Linked DNA regions of Astyanax mexicanus. The protein of the gene in region 1 interacts with the protein of each later gene in a biochemical or structural test. Links are inferred from orthologs where the notes say so. Each region holds a gene or a part of one and is shown on either strand. Other genes may lie near its edges.

Region 1 (10,698 bases):
AAACACCTTTCTAATGACGCTCTGGCCTGCTACTAAAGCTTTGTCTTGGACTGAGATTAAAAAAAGATAAATATAACAGTGAAAGGCGTATTGGTTCCACCTAAAGGACAGAGCGGGTAATGCAGCTGACAAAAAAAACACCTGATTTTTTTCAATAGTGATAATTATCCCGAGATAATTAATTTGAGAATTAAAACGTCCTTCCACTTCCAAAATAATCTTGAGTTGAGTCAGTTTACAACCTGATTTTTTTTCACTCATGTAATGTATTTATTAACATGTCCATATAGAACCAATAGAACAAAAGTAACAAGTAAATTAAATCATCATATACACTTTGTATTTAAAGAGTTGTTTTCTGAGCAGGTCACTTTGTTTTTTTCTGCAAAGAACTGCATTTCTGCAGAACTATGATAAATGTTATACACTATAACAAGATTCATTTTTAATGGATTTGTTTGTTGTTGTTTTTTTCAATTGTCTGCTATAAATAAATAAAACATTTTATATTGGTTTTAGACAGATATTTATAGCCTTTTTATCCACATCTTACATTTAATCTCCTGAATGAAACTCTGCGATTTTTTTTTTTTTGTATTTAACATCAATGGGCCACAGCATTGTTTGAGCACCATCTCAAATGACATCCTCCGCCCTATGACGTGCCTTCACCCGAGTATAGTGCACAATACAGTGGCATGCAAAAGTGTTCATATTTTTTCACATTTTGTCACATTACAACCACAAACTTAAATGTATGTTGTTGAGATTTTAGGTGATAAACCAACACAAAGTAGCACATAATGAAGTATAGTGAAGTCGGGTGAAAACAATACATGGTTTTAAAACTTTTAAACAAATAAAATAAAAACGTGTGCAAAAGTAATCAGCCTTATTTACACTGAACCCCCTAAATAAAACCCAAATACAACTGCCTTTAGAAGTTGTTTAATTCGTTAATAGAGTCCAAAGGATTGGTGATTTAGTACCAGTATAAAATACACCTCTTTTATGAAGGCCTCAGTAGTTTGTAAGAGAACACTACTGAACAAACAGCATCATGAAAACCAAGGATCTCACCAGACAGGTCAGAGATAAAGTTGTGGAGAAGTTTAAAGCAGGGTTAGGTTGTAAAAACATATCCCAAGCTTTGAGCATCCCAAGCAGCACTGTTTAATCCATCATCCAAAAATGGAAATAGTATTTTACAACTGCAAACCTACTGAGACATGGCCATTCACCCAAACTGACAGATCGAGCAAGGTCAGAGAAGCAGTCAAGAGGCCCATGGTCACTCTGGAGGAGCTGCAGAAATCTGCATTGTTGAAAGCCGCAAAAAGATTGTTAAAAGAAAGACATAAGAAGTGTAGAGGACACAGCAAACATGAAAGAACGTGCCAATTTTGCAAAGAAGAACAGGCAAAAATCTGGTAGAGACATACCCCAAAAGATCTGCAGCTGTAACTGCAGTGAAAGGTGTCTCTACTAAGTAGTGATAGGGGGCTGAAGACTTTTCAGATTTTTGTTTGATTCAAATTTTAAAAAACTTGTATCTTTTCACTTCACAATTATGTGCTACTTTGATGGTCTATCACTTAAAATATCAATAAACTACATTTAAGTTTGTGGTTGTAATGTGACAAAATGTAAAACACTTCAAGAGGTATGAATACATGTACAAGCCATTATACATCTGATCTAAATTCAGTTGTATTCTGAAATACTTTAGAATAAATAACTCCTTATTTAACATTCAATAACTGTAGAAATGTTTGTTCATTTTTTAGAAATGCTCTAGTGGTAGGGAATATTTGTAATTTGGGACGGGGCCGACATTCTCTACCCATGTGGCTGACTTAACGAACTGGCAAATCTAGCAAGCAAACGCTCTCTGAACACCAGCTTTACAGTATTTTGCTGTTCCTCACTCCAACAGCTGAACAAACAGTGAAGATTCAACTTTAATCAAACCCTTTTAGCCCTTAAAGCTCTCTTTTGCCATAATTCCGTCCATCCCTGCAAAAATCAAACATTAAACTTAAATCTAAACCTAAGATTAGTGATCTACACCCAGGGGCAGCACCTGGCATGGACTTTAGGGGCTTCAGTCCCGAGCATATTTTAAAGGTCTCCTTCCAATAAAATCCACTTTTTCTTGTTCTTTGTGAAATAGAATAAGTCTCTTTGAGTTGTACATGATGCTGCACATGAAACTCTTCCTGAACCTCTATTGTCTACAGTAGCTGGTAAAAGAAAAGCCTCAGAAAAACTAGTCGATCAGTAAAAGCACATGTGTACGTCAATCGGTGAATTAATATTCATGGCCTCACCCATGATTTTGGGGAAAACTTACACTGCACTATAATTTGTTGATCTGTAATATATATTGAGATTTAAAAAAAAATAGAGGTAAAAAATACAGTGCAACAGGATTGAAAATCGGGGTCAGATCGGGTATTTTTCAAAGGATCAGAATCAGGTGGAAACTATACATTTGATTTGTTTTTGTTTTTTTTTTACTATATTTTTTATACTATTTTATTATATTATTATTTTTTATATTATTATATTTATATATTATATTTTTATTTTTAACTATGCCGATTATTCCACCCACTCAGTTGCACTCACTCGATTACTAGCACATACCTGTCAAGTTTTAGATTTAAAAATAAGGGATATTTTCCTCTGTACGCTTAAAGCCGTCCCACCAGCCCAACGAAGGTTCAGTATCCCTCACATTTTAAAACAGGTTTACAAGAAATATAAAATAACCACAAGTGAACCACTTACACACTACAATTAGATTATAAGAATCTGAAATGTTGTGGACATTCCTACATATGTCATTCTTTTAATACAGCCAAATTAAAAATCCTTTTCTTTTTTTAAAAAATTAAGATTTCATGTCTTTTTTGTAATAAATGCACTCTTTTATATGATATATTTTTTATTTATTTAATGGATTTAAAATTGAACAAAGGGTGCACAAATTCTGCAAAATGACTGTTGGTGACCTAAACATAGTATCATGAGCTTTTACTAAAAGGACATGGACCAGATATGTTTCATCAGTAAAAATTTGTCCTAAGGGGCCTACACAATAATTTTTAATTAATACTTCTTCCTTTTGATCACTCCACCCCTGATCAGTTCAGTTAATTTCGGTCCTCTCCACATTTCTAGTTAAACTGAGTCACAAGTTGTAAATTTGTTTATTTTAAAAGGTTTAATCTGTGTGTTTTATTTCGGAGACGAGTATTTTTAAGCAGCTATCAGAAAAATCTCATCACAGTTTCCATGATTAGCCTACCGTTCCCTTTCTTTAAGAAAAATCGCTGTATATCCAGATCTACGGTGGCTGAGAAAGCCCAACGCAGTGCAAATTGAAAAGCGCTGCAAAAGCACAAAACACATCCATCAAAATTACAACACAGGCGCAGCAAATAGAAAAACGCGCTGCAAAAAGAAAAACGCGCTGCAAATAGAAAAACGCGCTGCAAATAGAACCACAACACAACGGAAGTGAGTCACAACACAACGGAATTTTCCCGGGGGACCTTAAAAGATACTGTACCAGCTAAGCTGCGTCTTCAGTAACGTCTCGGACTTCAATATGTGTACAAAGGACAATACGTGGCAAACAAGGCGTTTTGTGAAGCAGAACTTTTAATAATATGCACACAACCGTGGTAATCACAGGTAATAAACATAACTTACTTTTCAGAAGCTTGTTTGCCACTTATTGTCCTTTGTATACAGCTGGTACAGCATCTTTTAAGGTCCCCCGGGAAAATTCCGTTGTGACTCACTTCCGTTGTGTTGTGGTTCTATTTGCAGCGCGTTTTTCTATTTGCAGCGCGTTTTTCTTTTTGCAGCGCGTTTTTCTATTTGCTGCGCCTGTGTTGTAATTTTGATGGATGTGTTTTGTGCTTTTGCAGCGCTTTTCAATTTGCACTGCGTTGGGCTTTCTCGGCCACCGTAGGGGTTTCCCGGCCAAAACGGGAGACTTGACAGGTATGCTAGCAACATACCTGTCAAGTTTTAGATTTAAGAATAAGGGATATTTTCCTCTGTACTCCTAAAGCCGTCCCACCAGCCCAACGAAGGTTCAGTATCCCTTACATTTTAAGACGGGTTTACAAAAAATCTAAAATAACCACAAGTGAACCACTTACACACTACAATTAGATTATCAGAATCTGAAATGTTGTGGACATTCCTACATATGTCATTCTTTTAATACAGCCAAATTAAATACCCTTTTCTATATATTTAAAAAAATATATAAGATTTCATGTCTTTTTGTAATAAATGCACTCTTTTATATGATATATTTTTTATTTATTTAATGGATTTAAAATTGAACAAAGGGTGCACAAATTCTGCAAAATGACTGTAGGTGAACTAAAAATAGTATCATGAGCTTTTACTAAAAGGACATGGACCAGATATGTTCCATCAGTAAAAATTAGTCCTAAGGGGCCTACACAATAATTTTTAATTAATACTTCTTTCTTTTGATCACTCCACCCCTGATCAGTTCAGTTAATTTCGGTCCTCTCCACATTTCTAGTTCTAGAGTCACAAGCTGTATTTTTTTCTAAAGTCACAAGCTGTATTTTTAAGCAGCTATCAGAAAAATCTCATCACAGTTTACATGATTAGCCTACCGTTACCTTTCTTTTAGAAAAATCGCTGTATATCCATGTATGTTTTAACATCAGCAGCTCTAACTAGCTGCCTGAACTCACAGCGACGGGGGGCTTTCCCACACTGACCCTCCTTTGTAAGCTGATTGGCTGTTTCTCCTGAAAGGCGGGACTTTCTCCTTGAATCGGCTCCACGATTGGTTAAGAGAGCGGTCAGTGCCCTGTCTCCTCAATAATATATATTTTTTTATTTAGTATAATACGGGAAATTTACGGGAAAATACTAATACGGGAGGACGGCGGGAAAGAGGAGTAAAATACGGTAGTTTCCCGGCCAAAACGGGAGACTTGACAGGTATGGCTAGCAATGCCTCCTCTGACACATGTAAAGCCAGCTACCACCTCTTGGAAATGCAGCATTAGCGAGTAGCGAGCACGGTCACAAGAAAGCACAGTGACTCGGCTCTGATACATGAGCCAACAGATGCCTGTGCTGACTGATATCACCCTTTGGAGTGATGTGGGAAAAAAGCGCCATCTACACACCTAGAGAGAGCAAGACCAATTGTGCTCTCTCTCGGACTGATAGCGAGGTGCATGACTGGGATTCGTGGCAGCACTTTATTCTTCTGGACCACTTGGAGTCTCTTATGCATCATATTGCTATGGGTGGGCGAAATAATGACATTAAAAAAAAATATATATATACATATATATATATATATATATATATATATATATATATATATATATATATATATCATGGTTTTAATATTGTGGTGATTAATACAGTACATTTTTATGTCACTGACACCACTAATATAAATATAATTAAAATTCGCCAATCTAACAATGACTCTTTTTTTTTACATTTAAATAATCCATTATTAAAAGCTTATGAATGTTTGGTAGGCCACATGATTTACACATGCGTGCACAGTTTGATATTTTCACTGGTGATTTTAATGTTTTCAAGTAAATATAGTAATGTGTCTTATAGTATGTAATTATTATTCTTTAAAAGCATAGACTAGTACAATATAATACTTTTAAAATGTGATATGAAGTGGTATATTTTGATTTTAAAAAATTGGTTATTTAAAAATAACAACTTGGATGTGTTTTTTTTTTTTTTTTTTTTTTTACTGCATTGCCAGAGTATCAGATCGGGATTGGTATTGACAGATACACAAAATCTAATTTTCTCTTTGTGCATATAGTAAAACTGGAGTAAAATAAATTATATTGCAGTTTGCAAAGACAGTATTAAACATTATATTGTGCAGTCCTGCCCTAAACCTGTGCTTATCTGGTTGGATTCTGAGCAAAATTGATACTCAAATCAATATTTATTAATCATAATATGACTAATAATAAAATAAAAATGTTATAAAATTTCAATTTCAGTTAGTTGTAGATATTTTATTAGTTTTCTTAGTTTAAATTACATTAAAACTAAACTAAAACATGAACATTTAAAGCAGGTTCTTCCTTTTTTACGGCCACCAGGTGGCGGGGTAACCTACATACATGTAGGTGTAACAGAGGGCTGCTACGGAGAAGAGGCGGGCTCCTATAACCTGCTCTCTGTGTTCTGATTGGTTAAAATCTCTCAAGACTTCTCAAACAGGGCGGAGTCTTCCTACGAGAGGAACCAATCAAATCTAAGCCACGGTTCTCCCGCCTTTTTTGGATACGCTTACTACTTCCAACCACGTCATCCCACGTTTTAATACACTTTACTGCTAATTATAAACCTAGCTTACTTTAACACTAGATATTAATCTGTATTAATTTATATAAAATAATAATAACACAAATAATAACCGAGAAAACGCTTCAGGTGTGGCCTACATGGGCGGTGGCACAGTTCTGATTGGCTCGGATAAAACCGGAGGGCGTTTTGATTGGCTGTCCGCCTTCGCCACGCCTGTCTATCATTTCCAGGCAGGCAGCGAGTTCGGTTGAGTTGTTTGTAAGTTGATGTGTGTCCAAAAAGAAACTCCTGCGTGTTAAAAAATGAGCGGTAAGTTGAGTTAATTCGGTTTAAAAGCGGGTTTTTAACGAGTTAGTCGAGTTAAGGTGAGGTAGGCGTGATAATAAGCACTTTTCGGGGCGGTTTTGTGGGGTAGGTTTAGTCTGCAGTGACTGTAAGTGTCTGAAATGATTTCTGAAGATTTGTAGTTGGCGAGTTAAAGTACGAAGAAACCGGTTTGAAGTAGGTTAAAAGTTGATAAGTGTAAACGGAGGCTGTTATAATGCGAATTAGATGTGTAGAACTGGATAATTAATAACTGAGTGGGTAGTTAAAGTGTCTAACAGAGACTTCGCTACTGTAGCTACCGCTAGTTTAGCTAACCTAGCTAGCTTAGCTAGCGAGCTAACCTGCTAAGGAACCTTAAGTTTTTTTGTACTAAAAAACTTTCATAATGGCTTTATTAAGGTAGCTAGCGGTTAGATAACTAGCTTTTTGGGTGGTAAATCGCTTTATTTAATATTTAATCTGTTGTGTTTTTACTTCATTTACAAGTGTTTTGTCGTTAAAACTTTCATTTGCCTGTTTTAAAATTGCTTGTTTTTTGGAATTGTCCGTTCCACCTTAAAGAGTGCAGCAGTTCCATGGAACTGCTGCACTCTTTAAGGTGGAACGGACTATTGCAAAAGCAAGTCAACTTAAAAGTGGTTTAACGTCTTATTTGCTCTTTAAGCTAAATAATAATTATTAAAGACTAGTAATAACTCAGTTGTAAACCATACAAGTGATTTAAAAATATATTTTCTTGTCTACAGAGCGAAATGAAATGGCTGCGATGGGAGAAGGCGACGGAGACTTCCGTAAAAAGCGAAACACCAAAACAGACCAGGTCAGTAATACAACTGTTAAATATTTGATATAGCTATAGCTGTTATACAGTACTAGGCAAAAGTTTGACCACACACCTTTTCGTTTAGTTTATTTTTTCTTTATTCTTTATTCTTTAGTATTTTCTACATTGTAGATTAATACTGAAGACAACAGGATGAAATAACACATGCAGTTGTAAAAGTCGTGTGTCGTTGCAAGCCTCGTTTTCTTAAAGCTAAGTTTTTTTAAGTAATTGGTTTCTCTATATATTTATGGAAATACATATTTAAGGCATTTTTTATTTACTTTAGTGCATATATCAAACAGTGCACATATTTCTTGGGAGTTTATTAATGGATATTTAAATTTAAATAATTGTTAGTATTATGTTGACAACATTTAAAATGTATTATGTTTAATATTAAAGTTGTATGTAAGGTTGAAGGTGGCTGCTTACTATTACTTTAAAAGAATTAAGAAATCTTATGTATTATATAAATGTTATAAATGTGATTTTGAAGTTATCTACAAGAACTAAAAATCATAATTGAGAATCGCTCATATTTTAAGAATATAGTTTTTTGTTGTACAATATTGATTTTGGTTTAAACAGTGGCAATATATCGCCTTGCTTATATCCCCACCAAGTTCTTTCCATTATACCACCAATACAAAATTTTCTTCAGTTATTTAAAGGCTATATGTTGAGACAAGTGTTGTTGTTTTTTATTATTAGTCTTAAACCAGCTATTTATTATGTACCAAAATCTCTGCACTCTCTGTTTAATTTCAAGTGAAGAAGTTTCGTTGTATTTGGTCGGTCATGTAAGGAAGGAACTCCAAGGAATTCAAATTTGGAGATTAAGATATGGGACAATTATATGGCACATGCTGTACATGATGTAAACACAAACACTCAGTGCTAAACACTGAAATTACTAATTCCTTAATCAGCAATAACAGCTTTATTTACTTCTGCACTGTTGCACTGTAATAAGAACAATTTGTATATATATAATTTTTTTTTAATTATTTCGCTACACCTTGAATACAGTTTACACCTTCATTGGAAAAAATTATGTAAAGTTACTGGAATAAAATTTGATGTCATGTTGTAAACTAGTTACATAGAAATTCTTAAAACCTGACCCACACAAACAGCTCTTTATCTGTTTGTCTTACAAAACCTTTAAGAAGGTCTGTTTTTTTACTAAAAAAGTACCACTTGCTTAGTGCAATGGTCCTAGGACCAGTGTTGGGAAATGCTAAACAGCTAAAATAAGTGTTGGAGGACTTTACGTAATTTTATGTTGCTTTGTGATAACACAATTTATCAATATTTCGTTACATCGTTAATCGTTACATTCCGTGTAATCATACATTATCCCACACTGCATTTTACTAAATCAAAAATGTGATGCATCAAGTTATTCTGAGGTTCTCCTTCCCACAGGATGCCCAGCCGCCATCACCTTTAGCCCTGTTGGCGGCGACTTGCAGTCGGATAGACGAGAACGACGCAGCTGAACAGCAGCTTCAGGTCCATCGGAATGATTTAACCCACACCCAGGTATCTCACGCCACCAACGGCTGGCAGATAGTTTCTCAAGGTGTACAGACGACCACTGCCTCCGGGAATAACGTCTCTCAGAAGATCGTTCAGGATAAAAACCAAACTATCGTGACCTCCGGTGTCCAGCAGCAACAGCAGCAGCAGTATATAGTGGCATCAGCACCCAGCATACAAGGCCAGCAGCTGCTGACCACCATCTCTGGTGTGATGCCCAACATCCAGTATCAGGTCATTCCACAGTTCCAGACAGTGGACGGGCAACAGCTGCAGTTTGCCCAGACTACCCAGGATGCTTCTGCTGCAGGAACAGGGCAGCTTCAGCTCGTGTCTTCGCCCAATGGTGGGCAGCAGCTCATCGCAACGTCGGCCGGCCAGAATACTGGAGCTGGCAACATCCTGACTGTGCCAGGTCTTCTTCAGCAGGCCATTCCTCTTCAGAACCTGGCACTGGGCAACACTGTTCTGCCCAGTCAGACACAGTTTTTGGCTAACGTGCCCATGTCGCTCAACGGTGGCATAACGTTACTTCCTGTCAGTGCTGGCCAGGCTGCTGGTGCTAAAGCTGATGATGGAACTTCAGGTGTTGGTCAGCAGGTTGTCCAACAGGCAATCGTCTCAACAGCCACTGAATATCACACCAGCGCAACCACGTCCACTACACAAGCCGTGATGTCATGCAGCGGCGGGGTTTCTCGTGCTAACACTCTGACGGGCAACACCTTCCAGACCACAGTTGGCACAATTCCCATCCAGGCCATACAGTCAGACAACAGAGATGGAAAACAACAACAACAGCAGCAGCAACAACAACAACAACAACAAACCCAACAGCAGATCCTCATTCAGCCCCAGCAGCTCTTCCAAGGAACATCCACTCTCCAAGCCATCCAGCCTGCCAGCGGGCAGGTCTTTGCCACACAGACGCTGTCTCAAGATGGGCTCCAGAATCTGCAGATGATCCCAAACAACAGCTCCATCCTGCTGCGCACCGTCGGGCCGAACGGGCAGGTCAGCTGGCAGACGGTCCAGCTGCAGAGTCCTGCCGGAGCTCAGATCACACTGGCGCCGGTGCATTCGCTCCCACAGCTGACACAGACTGGAACCACCGCCACCACGATGCAGCTGCCTGGCCTGCAGACCATCAACCTGGCCAGTGCTGGGCTGCAGATGCACCAAATACAAGGGGTTCCCATCGCTGTGGCCAACAATGCAGGTCAGTATTACTGTTGCAGGGTTGTGGGTTGGAATGATAAGGGATGTACAAAATATTTAGCAGCTGAAATTAATCGGGAGAAAATGGGAAAAAGGAACTGATTTATTAAAGCAGAAAGTATTAAAAGAAACAGTAGGGAAAGCCTTTTGGCTGCAATGTTGTATAAATGATTCTCAGATTGTGGGGATGGATTTTTAAACTGAACTACAAATTAAATTAATCCAAATTAGATTTTGTTTTCTTAGAAATGTAAAAACAAAAATATATTGTCCTTGTATTGTACTGTGTGTTCAGGTGATCAAGGGGGAGCTGGCGGGGAGAGTCTGGACGACTGTACAGTTTTGGATCAGAGTTTGGACACAAGCCCAACGCAGCCCAGCCGCCGCACCCGCAGGGAGGCCTGCACCTGCCCCTA
Region 2 (10,803 bases), on another chromosome or scaffold:
CTGTGCAGAGTCAGTTCAGCTTGGTACAGTTATGTTCAGTAACTAAAGGGACTGAAGATATACCCTTGGGGGGTACCACCCCAGTGACAGAGTGAACTAAGCCTTATGCCTTATATTACATAGACCCCACTCTCCCTTTCTCTCTGTCTCTCTCACTCACTCTCACTAGTTCTCTCTGTCCAGCAACAGCGCCAGTGTTTTGATTTACACCAGAAGACGGCGGGAGACAGCCGTTAAGGTAGCCGCCACACCCGGACAATGGACTCAGATATGACAGGATTACTCCGTTGCCTTTGACCTCTCCTCCATTAGGAGCTAGGTGATTTCTTAGCATGGGCTGAAGGGCAATGAACTACCATACACTAATTACAGACACAGACACCAGCCTGGAACCATTTTAGGCTTTTATGAGTATTTAGACAGGCGGGTATTAAAACAGGAAAGAGCACTGAACATGCCGAGCTCTGAACAAATGGTCTCTGATAAACCGGCTCAACAAAAGACACAAGAGTCTTGTTATACTAATAAATAAAAATATGGGTTCACGTGTACTCTGTTACATGACTGTCAAAAATAAGACTTTGCTGTAAAATGCAGCTTGATGGAATTGGATGACATCATATGGGCCATTTTCACAGACAAGGACTTGCACTACCCTAGTGAAAAACATATATACTTAATTGTACTTAAAACATATTGAGAAATATCTAAGTATGCTGTTAATATACTAACAGATGTATGTACTTACTTAAAATGTATTAAAAGTACATTAAAATTATGCTTCATCAAATGTTTGAAAGTAAACTTGAATTATACTTTTTAAAAAAGTACAATTTAGTGTATTACTGCTATGAAGTACACTTTTAGTTTTATGTAATTCAATATACTTCTAAAATACTTATTTCCAAATATACTTTTGTACATTTTTAGCAAAGTGTGTTAAAAACAGCTGTTACAGTAGTTCACTTAAAGTACAATGTATCATGTAACTTTTTAGAAAGTAAATTAAATTACTACATTTAAAAAAAATAAATAAAGTAAATATGTAGACCATTTTAGGAAATATATATTTTTTATACCCAACGAAGTACACTAGAAGTGTGCTATTTACAAAAGACAGAAACAAGAAGCATATTTTTACTCTAATGTAAATATATTTAACCTCAATTCTTATATACCTGGTGTATAATAGTGATACAGTTGTAAAACTGTAAAAATGTATTACAGTTTTACTGTAAACATATTTAAAACATGGGGTTACATACATGAAGCCGTTACTTATAACATTTAACCATACTATTTATAATGTTACTTATATTTAGAATAGTTCCATTTTAGTACAGTTAAGTACACTTACTGTACTAAAATGTACAATTTAAGTATGACTTTTGTACTATTTTAATTAAAATATAATAAGTACAAAAAAGTTGTTCCATTATGGTGGACTATTATGGTGAAAACTGGCATTTTTGACAGATTATACTTTACCTCAAGCAAATATGGAGCCAATATGATAAATATAAAGTGCTATAAAAGTGAAATATTAGTAACTGCTGAACATGCTGCAAGTGCCTTGAAAACAGGGTTGTGATGGTTGTGATGTCAGTGATGTCACTTTCTTAAAGGGGCGGTTACTCAAGATGACAGGGTAAACAGGGAATTCCTGGACATGTTTAAATGGCTTAAATTTTTCAAGAAAATTTAAAAAATAAAAACTTATAATGCAAATATAATGAAAAAAAATTCTTTAACAATTTAAAAGAAACATTTACCAGTGCCAAGTAGCACTGGCAAAAAAATCACCCCCACATCAAACAAAACTGTAAAACATAAGTACATAAAAACATACTTTTAATTAGAGGTTAACACTGATCTGTGTTCTTCTATATGTTAAAGTAATTTGACCCAGTATTAATGTTAATTCATTTTAATCTCTTTTTGCTGCAGTAGTGGTCTCTATTGTTATAGAAAGGCTTTACATTGATATTAGAGCCTTACTGTAATAATCATTCAATCACAGAAGCACAAGTAAGGTCAGGATCTGATGTTGAATGATTAGATCTGGATCTCAAATGTTTCACCAACACTCCATCCACAAGTACTGGATGAATCTACATCACTTTAGAGAGCACAGTTCCACTGCACCACAGCTCAATGCTGGAAGACTTAATATTCTCTGGTTGCAGATTGGCATTGCCCATGGTAACCTTATAGGCTCAAGTGAGGTTGTTCTACAGCTTCCAATTCTACTGGCAATGCTTTTCTATGAAGACTATACAAGCTGTGTTTGTTCAGTTGAACACCTGTGTCAGCAATGGATGCACCTTACAGTAGCAGAATTCACTCCATAAAAAGGGTGCCTCTTTAACATGAATACTTATTTAGCTTTAAAAATACGAATAATCCTGAAAACTGCATGCGTTTTAATGCTAACTTGAATCTGTTTCTGTGTGTTCGTTTTTCACAGCTTCAGCATGAAGTAAATGTTAATTGCTCTGGCACTGTCTTTAAGGGAAGTTGATGAACCACATTTATACTAGGCCCTCCTCACAGACGTGGGGACCACCAGTGAGATGGATCTCCAAATACAGAGTCCCCCTTAGCTAATGGCAGGCCGTATGTCAAAGCAAACACACGTGCCGCAGCTATGGATACCTGATATTAGCACTACAGCCCTATTAAACGTTATAGTATACAGTACACACAAATGTATAAATAATGACTTTTTCCATGGGTGTAAGTAGAAAAGCTAAGGAGTGGGTATATTTTAAGGTCCAGACCAACCAGGGTGGCACAGACATAGAGACATATAACTACTGACAACATAAACATGACACATTTACACTCTGTCCTGCTAGACTGAAGACCAAGAATTCCCTTCACAAACCCATCTATATATAGCAGTCATTTTGTTTATTGTCAATTTAAACATGTCCACCTGACGCATGTTTATGTTTCACTCACCCATGTTTCAGATAACTGAGCTTAGACTGCATCAATACAGGTTTGCCTGTGAAAATCTATTTTAAGTTTTGTTATTTAAGGAAATACGGGTATTAAAGATGCCTTAGAATAAAATACTTAATTTACACTGCATCGTTAACCAGCAAATAGAAACAGAGCTTGTCATTTTATTTACTGGGTGGTAAATAGGATTTTAAAACCACAAAGTCACAAACGTAATTTTTCTGTATCACAGAACATCTTTCGAATGTTATAATCGGTATGCCTGTCATGAACACAATAAATGTACTTACAAATAAATGAAAATTGCTTGTGTGCTACTCTTTAAATGTTTGCTTATATATTGTAGTCATTTTTACTAAATATGATATAATTGTTTATATTAAATTCAAAAATTATTAAATTACTTTTCATTAAAACTATTTACATTTAAACTAAAATGTCTGAAATAAATCTTGTTCTCACACAATCAAACATAACCAGTAAAACAAAAAGAAAAAAACTAAAGTAACATGGAAACAGGGAAAAGGCATGCTGGGAAGCTGTTCCTCACTGTTAAGCCCATTTTACAATTTCTGGACTGTGCTGGACAAGGCCAAAAAAAAAAAAAAAACAAGAGCTACTTCAAAACAGAGAAGTCTCAGTTTCCATGTTGAACTAGTACTGGGCATTCCAGTTTCTGTCCTAGGGAAAGCATTGTGCTGTGCTGAAAGAGGATGCAGGATAAGAGGATACTGCTCTAGCACTTGACCTTTGTCTCACAGATTCACATGCCCATAAAACTCATCTGACCTTTAGACAAGCGCAGGGCCAATGGAAATGCATCTGAAACGGACAGTAGAACAAAATAAGCTGCTAATAAATGTGTATGACACATTAAACATTACCAGTCTGGATGTATTGTTAATCATACTTATTTACAGCAACTATGATACCTTAAATAAGCATAGCAACAATTTAAATCTCAAGAGTACACACAGACACACACAAACACACACACAGAGCTTCTTCAAAAGTTGTCCCGACAAGCCCAGTCAACCACAAAGCCACAAACGAGTGGATTTAAAAGCCTACTTTCGTTCTAATCTTCATCAACAAGCAATCAAAGGCAGTCAGATACAGGCATGTTTTGGAAAAAGCTTTACTTTTACATGAGGGTCCCAAACCTAAGGGCAGGATCCACAGCAATATGAACCTCAGCTAAACATAATGACGATAATCCTTTGATTGGCAGCTGCTAGTCTGCCAACAGCCCCCAGCAGGCCACAGAGCTTTCATTTTCTTTCTTTCTATTTCAACCAAAAATCTTATAGGACTTCCTTCTTCTCTCTTTATCTCTGCTAATCTGTACATCTAGCATTAGTGCGCACCGAATTTTCCATTCAGCAGTGATTCCCCCCAACACACTTCAGCCTAGATCCAACGCTGAAACAGAAATGATTAACAACTTGCCCAAGGCTTTCGATTGCGGATCAGAATAAGGATTATGTATGAGCAGCATGGCTGTGTTTCAGATTTCTGAACCTCTTCTTGCTAATACACTTTGTTTTGTACAGTAGATTTGTTTCAGCATAAGGCCATTAGGAAAAAGGGGCTGGGCAATAGATTTTGGATTGACCTACATTTATTGTTTAAATGCAAAATACCACAAGTCAGTCGTGCTGCACAGCATCACTGAACAAATAGAAATAGAAATACAAATATCTGAAAAGACAAAATAGTAAACCAAACACACTCTTTGGTACTGCAAATGTTGATTAAATAAAATCACTTTTATTTTTACATTATTTATCTACTTTATTACAATGCCATGATAAATAAACCAACAGAAACATTCTAAAATGTTTTATAGTTAAGAAAGTTTTTTTATCAGGTCCTTGATCAGTAAAGTGTGTTTTGTGTGATAACAAACACAATACAAGACAGAATATTACACAGACTGTCAATATGTCACATTGACTGTGCCAAATATAAGAGCTATGAAATAACCAGATTCATTCATATACACATTTATCTTTACATGTGTGAGAATGTATATATTACATTACACTCGGAAGATGCTTTTGTCCAAAGTGACTTATACAATAATGATGTTCATTTCGTAATAGAAGACATAGAAGTAGGTAAAAAATACAGGGCCAAAAGGAGACCAAAGGGAAATAGCAGGATAGAGGAAGATAGATTACAATCGGATATAATCTTTTTGTATTACATGGTATAACAGAGTTATACATGTGTTATATTCTTTGTAGTCATATTATGAAACATAAAGATATACAAAATATAATGTATATATGTGTTGGTGTGTATGTACCACGTTGATCTTAAATCTAAAATAGTCTGTTTTGAAAAGTATTGTAATAAATGTAAAATAGTGAATGTTAATTTCACAATAAGTGAGTAAAAATATTATTTTGCTGCATTCAGTCACAAATTAGAACCTTTAAATCTCAACCTTAACTTTAACAACTGCCTGTTGATGCCGTTTAACCATATAAGCTAAAATAATGACAGGGTTTAGGGCAGATTAAGGGTGAGGACTGAGCAGGAGGTCTAAACAGTGGGTTTTGGTGAACATCGACTGAGGACTGCCACGAGGAAACCTGAGTGCAACGTCATGCTGACGTGGTGTGTGTGTGTTGAGCTCTGGGTTCAGTGGAGCAGTGAAACAGAAATGTGCCAGAGACCGGGGACAAGTTTCACTTCAGAGCTCCTCTGGTGCTTTTCCTGTGAAGGTCCTGCGCAGACTGATAACAGAAACCAAAACAACTGCAGCTGAGCCCACACGTCAGACTCGCGCGAGCAGATAAACACACCAGCCCCAGCCTTAAAGCACAGTTTCAGATGTCTGTACTTTCCTCTGTCCCTCTGCATTTCGAGAGTTTGTTAGTCAGGCTTGTTGTGAAAGCGTCAGCCTCGCTTCTCGTTTTTTGTTTGTGTGAACTTTAGAGAGGCTCCCTGAGCTGGACCTGCTCTGTGGCCTGCTGTCACTCCACTGCAGACCACGCCCCCTCCACCTCCTATTGGCTGGAAGGGACCGTGAGTAAAAACACACTCTGCCACGACAAAAGCAGACTACTGCTCGTGTTTCGAAATTAATCTCCTGAACAAAACAAAAAAAAAGAAAAGTAGAAAAACACTTTCTAAACCTTAAGGCATGATTAACGATTATATTATTAATACCAGGCGAGTTATGTGTCACCACACTTATTATTTATGCTTTAAAAAACAGAACACAGACCGGACTCTCCCGTTCCATTATCAGCCTGTAGTTATATTTTGTACATATATATATATATATATATATATATATATATATATATATATATATATATATATATATATATATATATATATATATATATATATATATATATTTCACTTCTATAATAACACATACAAATAAAAAGAGCTTATAATAAAGTAATTAAAACATCTTTAAGCGAGCAGAAATCACGGTCTCCCCTCACACACTAACACTAGCTCCGTCCCATAGACACACACACACACACACACACACTGGTGTCCCGCCACAGTCTGAAGCAGCTAAAGCGCGTAACCAGATATTCAAAAACAATACGTAATCCCACAATGCAGCGCGCGCGCTCGTCCACTCGCAGCATTACCTCATCCCGTGAGCCTCCGCGCGCCGAAAGAATCTTCTGGTGGTCGTCTAGGCAACGCGCCACGGCTCGGCCCCCTCGACGCCCATAGCCAATCAGAGGCCGCGGTCATGACATCACCATCGGACCCCTATTTTTAGTGTGGCAGCGGCGGCAGATAAGGTTGGAGAGCGCGGCGGAGGAGCTCACAGCACACACGGGACAGGGAGAGGGAGGTACGGAGAGAGAGAGAGAGAGAAAGAGCGGAGAGGAGTTTAAAACAGAGAAACAACACACACAGTAGTCCCGTGAACAGACTGACAGCGCGAGAGAGGCGCAAGACCTCGTAGTTCCGACTGTTTTTACAACTTTTTTCAAACTTTTTCCTCTCGCGGGACAACGAGAGACAGAGAGAGAGAGGACGAGGCTCGAGAAGTTTGGGAAGCGGCTGCTAGCTCCTGCCCTTCTCCTCTTCTATTCTGAGAGACAACACTTCATTCACCAAGAGAGGCGAGCGCTTCTGAGTCGGACTTCCAGCTGAACTCCTCACACAGTGAGAGAGAGCTGTGGTGAAGATCTCTACCGCTCGCTGGTGAGTGAAACGGCTCCTCCACTCTCAGACAAAGTTTTGGTTTCTCCTTCTATGTCGACCAAGATGGAAACTACTTTCTACGACGACTCGCTGAGCGCAGCCTTTTCGCAGCACGACGCCGCCGCTTTCGGATACAACGCCAAGGTGCTGAAGCACAGCATGACGCTCAACCTCACCGACCCGGCCGGCACGCTCAAGCCGCACCTGCGGGCCAAGGCCAGCGACCTCCTCACGTCGCCGGACGTGGGCTTGCTTAAGCTGGCCTCTCCGGAGCTCGAGCGGCTCATCATCCAGTCCAGCAACGGGCTCATCACCACCACGCCCACGCCCACCCAGTTCCTGTGCCCCAAGAATGTCACGGACGAGCAGGAGGGCTTCGCGGAGGGCTTCGTGCGGGCCCTGGCCGAGCTGCACCACCAGCACATGCCCGGGACCTCGGCGCCCCCTCAGACCAGCACCACGGTCAACAGCTCCATGGCGGCGGCCCCGGCCGCGGCAGCCTACAGCTCGGCCCCGCCGCGCGCCGACCCGCCGGTCTACGCGGACCTGAGCACCTTTAACCCTGCCATCAGCAGCAGCGCGGCCCCGGGCTTCCCTGCCGTCAGCTACACCACCACGGCGCCTCAGCCCCTGGCGCCTCCACCACAACAGCAACAGGCGCCACAGCCGCTCCCCGTCCAGCACCCGCGGCTACAGGCACTCAAGGAGGAGCCGCAGACGGTGCCCGAGATGCCCGGGGAGACCCCGCCGCTGTCGCCCATCGACATGGAGAGCCAGGAGCGCATCAAGGCCGAGCGCAAGCGCATGCGTAACCGCATCGCCGCGTCCAAGTGCCGCAAGAGGAAGCTGGAGCGCATCTCACGCCTGGAGGACAAGGTGAAGACGCTCAAGTCTCAGAACTCCGAGCTCGCGTCTACGGCCAACATGCTGCGCGAGCAGGTGGCCCAGCTCAAGCAGAAAGTCATGAACCACGTGAACAGCGGCTGCCAGCTGATGTTGACGCAGCAGCTGCAGACCTTCTGAAGCGGGAACTCCAAGGAGCTGCAGAGAGGGCGCCGAGGAAAGAAGGGACAAACGGGCTGAAAGGACACGCTTGTGTAAAAGGGGCTGTGCACCAGAGCCTGCGGCGACGGGGGGCCGGTGAAGCCGTAAAGTGCTCCAGGACTGTCCCGGGGACCCTGTCTGGCCGCGTGCCGTGCAAAAGGACGTCCAGATGTGGAGCTTACCAGACCTCCACCAAGCTGGGTCCACAGCACCAGACAGCATGAAAGACTCACTCTGTTACTTTTATTACTGTTGTTTTCTAATGACGAAAGAAAGAGACTCAACCTTGTTCACTTTGACCAAGTCGTGCATGGACCGAAGCGTACAGGCGCACTCAGTATTAGAAAAAGAGAACTGCATTAGGGACTCTGCTCGGCCCATGTTGGCGGGCCACAGCAGGAAGTTGCGTCCTATAAAGTTAAAAAAAGACCCTTTGATAAGAGCTGCCTGACTTCTGAGTTGCAAAATGTCATTTTTGTTCTTCAGATGAATCAAATCGACGTTATTTGAGTTAGTCAAGCTTTCGACTTTTCTTTCGAAGTTTCTTTTTCTAAAAAGTTTCTTAATGAGGTTTCACTCATTGTTATTTGTAAATAAGATCAACAGGGAGTACTTAAGTTTACCATTTGTAATAAAAAGTGCTACGTAATTTTTTATGTTTGTTTTCTGAGCTGATCAGAAACTAATCAATATTTATGAACTGTAATAAAGGATGTCAAACGAAAACAATGGGTCTGTTGTGTCTGTAAATGGAACAAACATGTTGAAACATGTCATTCAGAGCCACTATTGACTAATGCTTCACTTCACACACACAGTCTTGAAGGTTCAGGTTTGTCTAGTGTAGCCATGCTCCAACAACGTCCACCTTACAACTTTACAAAAGTTACACACAGAATAAACAGACTACACACTACTATAGTAAAGACTATGTAGCACAGACATTTTCAATTAAAATAACTATATATATATTTAACATTTAAATGAGTACTAAAGTGGGACATGCAGCCTTCAGCACTATTTCAGTTCCTCAAGTGTTGTATAGTAGTTATAAATTCACAGTGTAGTGTAACATTAATATATGATATACACTAACATTAGGTATTGGCTAACTGTATCTACAGAGATAGCCAGTAATATTGAGGTATTCATTTGAACTTGGCAGGTAGTCACAAATAGCAAATAAATACATTAGAAATAAACAACAGATTAATAAGTTGTTTAAAGACCAAACAATAAACAAAACAAAATACGATATAATGTATACAAATGAAACAGCAATGCATCTACACTATCAAAAAGTATTGTTTATCATGTGTTTCAACAATAGAGCAGGAATTGCATCAGATTAAAGCCTACTGCTATTATAATCAATATTACATTTCGTCTTTGAACATGTAGGTATATGATGATCCTGCAGCTCTACTCTATAAAATGTACTTTGGACAAGGTCTTCTACAAGAACAACCTCATACACACCAGTTTCTTTAAAACGACATTTTTTTTAAACCTGGGACAATGTGCCACTAGAGGGCGCCGTTGTCCCTCTTTTGCTAGGTCACGCCGGAGTCTAGTTTGATCCTGGAGTAAACACTCCCTCTGCTGTTCAGTAAAATACACCAGTGTAAACTCATGAGCACTTTATAAAACGTGTTCAACTGTAATGTGGAACAATTAGGCTGAAGGAGAAGAAGGCAGGTAGGCTACACTGCCCTGTCCTAATGTAAAAGAAAGTACTTTGTCTCCTTCACCTAAGCAGTCTTTAAAGGATCCTAGAATACTATAGAGTGGTTTACGTTTAATATTAACATTAACCTGAACAGAACAGGTATATCAAACAATTCTAACATACTTAAACAAATAAATAAATCAATAAATAAAGCTGCCTTTAAGGTTCGGGTTTTAAAAGCTGTGATTAGAAAGCCAGTGAACTGCACTAGTTCCTTTGTTAAATCTGATTCAGTCCTTATCATGCAACATTAATGGTCTTTCTCTGCCCAAACTTGGTAAAGGGTGACATCATGCCGGAAAGCGGCACCTACATGACCATATAAGGAAACACAAGGGTCGGAAGATCTACGCCATCAGGCCGTGGAGTGGGCGTGGCTTACGGGAAGTGGAACTCCTCGGACTGATCTGCCCCGCGCGCTGGAGCGCGAGAGAGGGGGGAGAAGAAGCTTTCTGATTAAAATAAACACACAACACGCGCTCAACTCCCATACATTTAACTCAACACCAGCTAAGTTAACATGTACACATGTAGTCCACCAAAGACTGGCAAATATACAACACACAGCAGCCTAAAAAACACACCAACAAGTTTACATGTTCTGCGTTATTTGCGCAGCATAGGCTATAGAAAAAAAAAACATTTATAATAGAAACTGTCATTGCAGTGTATCTAGAATTAATGAAACTCTAATGCAAGTCCATTTGAATTCAGATTAGTATTGAATATCTATAAACCCACTAACGCGCCTGACGGAACGTAACGAAACACTGAGTAAAAACCAGTTAGTTCAGTATGATTTATTCTAATACTTATGTACAAATCCAAAATATACAGTCTGATGAAAAAAAGCCCCTGTTAAAACGACGTAT

The links. The genes of interacting proteins can lie anywhere in the genome.
Region 2: the proteins of sp1 (region 1) and jun form a complex in vitro, tested with the Homo sapiens proteins (2 studies listed by BioGRID). The link is inferred for Astyanax mexicanus from reciprocal best matches to the Homo sapiens genes SP1 and JUN.

Annotation. Positions count from the first base shown.
Region 1 is NC_064431.1:15,803,459-15,814,156, forward strand, and holds the start of sp1 (transcription factor Sp1), read left to right. Parts: upstream 1-6,571; 5' UTR 6,572-6,671; coding exon 6,672-6,678; intron 6,679-7,442; coding exon 7,443-7,516; intron 7,517-8,950; coding exon 8,951-10,283; intron 10,284-10,577; coding exon 10,578-10,698. UniProt on the Homo sapiens protein: Transcription factor that can activate or repress transcription in response to physiological and pathological stimuli.
Region 2 is NC_064408.1:62,904,254-62,915,056, forward strand, and holds jun (transcription factor AP-1), read left to right. Parts: upstream 1-6,734; 5' UTR 6,735-7,209; coding exon 7,210-8,181; 3' UTR 8,182-8,931; downstream 8,932-10,803. UniProt on the Homo sapiens protein: Transcription factor that recognizes and binds to the AP-1 consensus motif 5'-TGA[GC]TCA-3'.